Oryctolagus cuniculus: one gene and its partner. The protein of the gene in region 2 interacts with the protein of the main gene of each other region in a pairwise test. Links are inferred from orthologs where the notes say so. Each region holds a gene or a part of one and is shown on either strand. Other genes may lie near its edges.

Region 1 (4,245 bases), on a different chromosome or scaffold from region 2:
TAGAAAGTAATAGCAGTAGCAAAACCAAACCAAACCAAATTACACCCCTCTCCCCACAATTCTGAAACCAAACAAGAAGGAAGAAAAACAAAAAACACAAAATCTGAGCAATCCACAAAATGGACTTTTTTGGAATACTGCCTAGGAAAAGAGAGAGGGGAAAGATTTAAGCCCAGGAGTGCTGCTGCAGCAACAGGGACTGAAAGATGTTTGTAAATCTCAGGAAAGACTAGTTTTCCAGCAACATCAGTGGTACCAGTGGCAGAAAAGCAGTTTTTTTTTTTTTTTCCTGAGATGGATATTCAGTTTAAGAGTAAAGAAAGCAGAACCAGAAATTAAGGCCTCATGATGAGAACAAAGAACAATGAATTCAGGAACAAATGGGGAAGACAGAGGACATAAGAGACTTGGAACTAATCATTATGAAAGTTGAACAGATGTTGAGACCTTTAAACTTGGGGCTACTCCGGGGGCCTTGAATCAGGTTACAGAAACTATCAGCTATGATCTGGGGGGTGGACACCTGACGCCATCATGGGAAAGCTCCATGTTTGTCCTGGGCAGATCATTTAGCAGGATAGTTTGAACGTTTTGAAGACTTAAAGCATAAGCTAACAGGATAATTATATTAGACTTTTATTTTTAAAAATATAACCAGGAAACAAAAGGAATCCAAGAATATCCCTGGAGGGGACCTTGTGGGGGCAGAAATCTTAGGTTTAGAGTTGCTAAGTAACACCTCTAATATCACACAGCTTGTTACATGGAAGTCTCCATTCCCTTCTCCCATTGCTTCTGTGCCCATGAACTGCTGTCAGGAAGGGTGTTGTGGGGAAGAAGAGAAGGGTGCTGGGAAACCATCATAGCCCGAGGAGAGATTATCCACACATAAAGCTAGGGGACCATGAAAAGAGACAGGAGCCTTGACCAGGTTTGTTTTCCTTCTTTCCTTCCTTCCTTCCTTCCTTCCTTCCTTCCTTCCTTCCTTCCTTCCTTCCTTCCTTCCTTCCTTCCTTCCTTCCCTCCTTCCTTCTTGATTCTCAAGGTGTGAAAGCTTATGCTAAGGGGAATAAACATTTGGGGGCCCACGACGCTCAGGTGGTGACAAATGTTGGGCATGAAGTACCTTCGGGAGACAACAGTTGCTCAACAAAAGTTAGCAAACACAAGAGGAGGCTGTGAGCTTTGCCTCCCTGTTAACTTTCTCTTCCCAGAATGACACAGGAAATAAACACAGCCAAGCCCCAAATGTGATCCAAAAGAGAGTGAGCATTCACTCTCACTGGGAAGAAATGGCAGCAGTGGGGCTGTGATGCTGAAAGAGGCCATCAGCAGACAGTAGGCAAAGAAAGAGCCTTCCACGCGCTCCACTGTCTCTAACCATTGCCCCAGGACAAACTGGGCAGGAGAGGCATTTGTGGGGAGATCTGTTGAGTTCTCCTGGAGACCAGGGGAGGCCCATACAGGAGACATTTAAGAGAACTGGCAAACACGGGGCTCTGGCCAGTCTTGAAAGCAAAAGACCTTTGCCCAAAACCTTGCCTCCGTTACAAATGTGCACAGGCCCAGGCTACAAGGACTGGGCTGCGAGGCGCCTTGCTTTTTTCCCCTCCCGGGCTGGATGTAACAGAGGACACCATGGTAATACGCAAGGGCGGGCGGGAGCTGTGTCCTGTGCCATGGACTCCCCCGGTGTGCAGGGAGAGAGGAAGAAGGGGCCGTGAGTGATGCGGGGACTGTTCCCCCAAAGCAGATGAGGCGGCTGGGGACACTCTTCACTTCATCTCAAAAGTAGCACAACTCTTTTATTTATTATTATTATTTTCTTTTTTTGCCACGGGTCATTGAGATAAGTATAAAATCATTCAAGGGCCATGCAAAATTATCAACTTAAAAAGTAGCCTGCTCTAAGATGTATTGCGTTTCGAGTTCCACCTGCAGTTGCCTTGGCAGGGCCAGACAGACCAAATGATTTCCCGGGGTCTGGGGGCGGGGACGACGTCCCCCAGCCCGGAAAGGGACACCCCACGGAGGTATAGGGGCTTGCCACTCAGATCACGTTAAAAGACGCGAGTTAACAGAAAGCCGCCATGGAAAGTTGGCTAGACTGCATCCCACGTCTGCACATTTCTCGCCTGTGCCCCGAGGGAGTTGGAGCAAAACGGAGTGAAATTTTTGGGGCTGTTTCCTCCCATCCCAGAAGCCCATCACCTGCTTTGGAGAAGGGCGGCCAGCTCCAGGGTGGCCGCTGACCGCGGAGGCTGGGTCCCCGGCACACGAAACTCACGACGCCCGCCCTCGCGGTCCCCAAGCCCGTCGAGCGGCCCCGCGGACTCACCAGGTCCGGCCGCCAGCGGGCTGCGCGCCCTCACGACCCGCCTCGGCGGCAGCCGCTCCCCATGGATCTCGGCCGCGGGTCGGGCTCCGCTGCTAGCACCCTTCCCGGCGTTGCTGCCACTCACCGCTGCCCGGGGTCTTGGCTGTCAGGCGCTGGAATCTCCGGCGGCTACGCGACTCCCAATTTATAGCCAGGGGCGTTGCTGTGTTCCAGGGAGGAGGCTCTGTTTTGCATTCCCGCCTCCTCCGCCCCGCCCCGGGAGACCCTCCAGGCCCAACCCCTCCCTCTCCAGAAACTGGCGGCAGCCGGGATGATGCCACAGTTGTCCCTCGTCGCCTATCAGACTCGCGCTCACCTGGCCCGGAGCCCTGCCTGGAGAGGGGCAGCGAAGAGGGAGGCAACCCGGGATTGCGAAGCATCGATTCCCAGAGCCTAATGTTCTCCCTCTCTCTCTGTCTCTCTATAACTTGGAAAACTTTTAAGGGCGAGTTAGGAACTTCTGTTTCCTGTGAGTGGCTCCAGCTTTGACAGTATCCGTGTGAGTTAAGGATCACAGTTAACACGCAGGGTTGTAAAATGAAAGCGTGGGCATTCGTTTCCTCTGCTGGAACTGCTGAGTTACATTTTGAAGATAAATAAAGTAATAAAACAAAAGATGACAAAATATTGAAGGAAGACTTAATATCAAGTCTTCATAAGCTATTCAGAAAAAAGAAAGGAAAGAAGAGCAAGGAACACTTGCCAGTTGATGCTATGAGATCAGTATTACGCCTGTACCAACACCAGATGAAGACGCTACAAACAAACTGCAGGCTGTTATGAATATAAATAGCAATTCTCAACAAAATGCTAGCAAATCAAATCTTGTAATTCATACATGACCATCAAGTGAGATTTATCCTAGGAAAGCATGAGTAGTTTACCAAAAATCAATTAATGTATTTAACCATGTCAACAGAATAAAAGACAAAGCTCACTGGGTCATCTTAATAAATTAAAAGCATTTGAAAAATCCAACATTCTTTCATGATAAATACACTCAAAAAACTAGGAGTAGAAAGCAACTTCTTCAAACAGTAAAGTCTATGAAAAGCTCCCTAGCATTATACTTACTGTTGAAGCTTACTGTCTAAGATCAGGGACAAGACAAGCAGGCTCGGTCTCCCACTTCTATTCAACTTTGTACTAGAGGTTCCAGTCAGGGCAATTGATCAAGGGTAAAAAATAAACAAACAAACAAGCAAATAAATAATGACATCAGATTAGAAAGGCTGTAAAACCATTTCTATTTGTAGATGACATGATCTTCTATTTCGAAAACCCTAACACGTTAAGTAAAAAGCTATTAGAGCTAATCAATGAGTTTAGTAAGCTTCATAATACAAGATCAATATACAAAAATCACTTGCATTTTTAAAAAAGATTTATTTACTTATTTGAAAGGCAGAGTGACAGAGAGAGGGTGAGACAGAGAGAGAAACAGCCCTTCCATCCATTGGTTAATTCCTCAAATGTCCACAAGGGCCAGGGCAGGGCCAAGCAAAGCCAGGAACCTGGAGCTCCATTGGAGTCAATCATGTGGGTGGCAGGGGCTCAACTGTATTTCTGTAGCAATAGACAATAAAAAAAAAATGAAGTACAGAAAATAATTCCATTTACTATAAATCAAAGGAATGAAATACTTAAGGAAATTTAATAAAAAAGGTGTAAAACTTGTACTCTTAACCCCCTAATTGTTGAAATGAAGTAAGTTAGACATAAATAAATGGAATATTTTGTGCTCCTGGATTAGAATATTTATTATAGTTAAAATGACCTTAATCCTTGAATTATCTTCAATTAAATACAGTCTCTATTAAAATCCTAGTAAGCTTTTTTTTATGGCAGAAATTAGCAAGTTTACCCTG
Region 2 (2,831 bases):
TCACAGGAGCTGCTGTCCCTGGGACTTGGGCCCAGGGCAGCCTTACTCTCGGCTGCCTGAAGCCTTGGCTTCTGTACTAGAATGGAAGTCCCAGACTCCACGGCGGGGTCACGTGGCCTCTGGCTGGGTGAGACCTGCAGATGTGGTCCCAGTAAGCCCCAGGAATGGGCTGGCCCAGCGAGCAGATGGAGTGGAAGCGAACACGGTCATGCATTGTCGGCTGCCCTGCCCAGCTCTCGCAGCCCCTGGTCGGCAGGGCAGTTACTTATTATTTCCCCTGTAAAATGACTAAGTTTACTTTGTGGCTTTACCAAGCAATACACTTGCGTTTGGACGGACCAGATCGAGTCTCATTGTTTACCTTGGAACACAGGCTCAGCACAGTCATTCACTAAATACTTACTGAGAGGCCGTGCGTCGGGTGCCCTGGGGGTGCAGGAAGCGCCCAGATGAGCATGCCAGACGCGCTTTATCCAAGGCAGAAACACACACATGTACACTTGTGCCTATTAAAAGGTTTATTTGCTTCTTTATGCTCAAGAAACAAAGCGACAGCCTCGCCAGCCCCTGCCCCCACCCCAGGGTCTTGTTTTGGAGGCACGGGAGGCAGAGTGACGGGAGGGGAGGGGCGTGTTGGTGTGAGGCCGAGTGCGGGAGTTCTTTCTCCCCCTTCCCCTCCTATCACTTCTCTGTTCAGTGCCCTCCCTCTGAAAGATGTAGGGATGAACTCAGCCTGCTACCCGTGGAGGGCTGGGGAAGCAGAGCTGTGAAAAATTAATGCCCACTTTGAACAGGAGATGGGTCCAGTGCGTATCTTGGGTGGGGGGATAGGGAGAGGGGGTTGGGGATGGTTGAGGAATGCTGGATGGAGGGGAAGGGAAGAGAGGCCGGGCCACCCTGCCCCCGCGACAGTGGGGGTCTTGGTCCAGCCCTTCTTCCTAGCAGAACTGGTCATCGTAGTCATCATCCTTCATCCCTTTCAGCCGAAGCCTGGCAAAGTCCTCAAACACGATGTCGTCATCAGTGGCATAGCTTGGCGGGAGAGAGGGGGACACGGAGTGAGGCCACGACACTGCCCTCAGCACAGGGCAGTTTTAGAACAGGCATGGGACCCATGGGACCAGCGGGGTTCGCAGGAAGGGACAAGGAGGGCAGTGAGAGGCAGCCGCACAAGGCTCAGTCATCTTAGCATGATGCTTCAGACTCCCTCCCGCCAAAACATGAAAAAAACTTGAACCAGAGCTCATCTGGGTTGCTGGCATTGTTGTCAACAGCTTAACCTGCTGTGTCACAGTGCCGGTCCCAAATAAATGAGATTTTAATAAAATACTATATTAGGGGCCAGCATGGTAGCATAGCAAGTAAAGCTGCCGCTTGTGATGTTGGCATCCTAAATGGGCACTGGTTTGTGTCCCGGCTGCTCCACTTCCAATCCTACTCTCTGCAGTGGGAGATGGCCATCCTAGGTTAGCTGTCTAGAGGGGGTCAGTGTGAAAGGGGGTGGGGATGAGTTTCTTACTTGGTATCAAATTCGATGAGGTTGGTATCCACAGGGACATCTGTTTCGGGAACCACTGAGGCAAGGGGGAGACGGGGAGGTGAGTGGGTGCTGGCAGGACCCATTTTCCCCACTGGCCCTCCTTCTGGAGGCTTGGGGTACATGGTGTGCTCACCTGACTGGGGTCTGGGCAGGGTGATGTGGTCGGGGGGCTTGGGGTGCATCAGGACAAAAGGCAGCTCCACAGAGACATCCCTGCCAGGGGGTGGGGGGGACCATGACAGTGAAAACGATGACAGCGATGCCGATGCCACAGAGCCACAGCACGCCGTCCCTGCCCCTCCCAGGGCTCCCCCGCCACTCACCCGCCTCGAGACACCACCAGCTTCACCTTGACCCTGTAGGACACCAGGATCCCCAGCACCTCCTTGTTGGCACCCTCCTTCACACTGCAATTGGGGACCCGAGACTTGGGTCACGGCCCGTTGCCCCATCTCCTGGCCCCACCTTAGGATGCCTCCAGGATCTGGGCAGGACTACAAACTCGCAACATCCACAGGCCAGACCACACCCAGCATCCACCTGCGCGAGCCCTCCTGTGGCTTGCTCTCTCTGTCAGAGACAGAGTCCGTCGGACCTAACAGCCCGGCACAGTCTCGCTCTCCATCAGCCCCTCCTCCTCCTCCTCTCCTTGCAGCTCCTTCGAACCCTGCTGGCCCGCCAGCTTGCTGTGTGTGCAAAGGCGCCAGTGGGGCTGAGCTCCAGCCCGTGGTGATGCTGGGGACTCCAGGCTGCCCCCGCCCAGTGGTGCCAGGGTGCCTCGCAGTGGCTGATACACCTGCCCAGTTCTGCTTCCAAGTCTGGGCCTGCACTTTTCCTCCCCTGCTGCCTCTGGTCTTTATTCAAAAGTTACCTGTTAGGAGGCCTTCCTAGCCCAAATGATCACACCCTGCCCCTCCACGCTTTCTATCTCCCTCTGCCTGGCTGTTCATGCTTGTCAGGAAGCCTCCGCCTAGAACAGCAGAGACCCGGCTGGTCACCGTCCTGGCCTGCAGGGGGCGCCCCTCCCGCGTCCTGCACTCACATGGTGCTGGAGGCCAGGTTGGTGTCCTCATGCTTGAGCTTCCCGTCCAGGGCGAGGCCACGTTTCTCCCGGTTGTCACTAAGCAGCGGGGTGATGGTGTACACCTTACAGAACGTGGAACTGGGAGACACCTGGTCGCTGTGAGCGGGGTGAGGGCCAGAGAGGAGACTCTTGGAGGGCCAGGCTGGGGCAAAGCGCTACCTCCTAGCCCCAGGCAGCATCTCCCGGTCACTTCCCTTTGGGCACAGG

Evidence for each region. The genes of interacting proteins can lie anywhere in the genome.
Region 1: the proteins of ARRB2 (region 2) and AGTR1 interact in a two-hybrid assay, tested with the Homo sapiens proteins (2 studies listed by BioGRID and IntAct, with this or other methods). The link is inferred for Oryctolagus cuniculus from reciprocal best matches to the Homo sapiens genes ARRB2 and AGTR1.

What each region holds. Positions count from the first base shown.
Region 1 is NC_091435.1:132,774,669-132,778,913, forward strand, and holds the start of AGTR1 (type-1 angiotensin II receptor), read right to left. Parts: upstream 2,801-4,245; 5' UTR 2,339-2,800; intron 1-2,338. UniProt on the Homo sapiens protein: Receptor for angiotensin II, a vasoconstricting peptide, which acts as a key regulator of blood pressure and sodium retention by the kidney.
Region 2 is NC_091448.1:51,498,804-51,501,634, forward strand, and holds the end of ARRB2 (beta-arrestin-2), read right to left. Parts: intron 2,721-2,831; coding exon 2,583-2,720; intron 1,948-2,582; coding exon 1,864-1,947; intron 1,754-1,863; coding exon 1,674-1,753; intron 1,575-1,673; coding exon 1,520-1,574; intron 1,033-1,519; coding exon 939-1,032; 3' UTR 501-938; downstream 1-500. UniProt on the Homo sapiens protein: Functions in regulating agonist-mediated G-protein coupled receptor (GPCR) signaling by mediating both receptor desensitization and resensitization processes.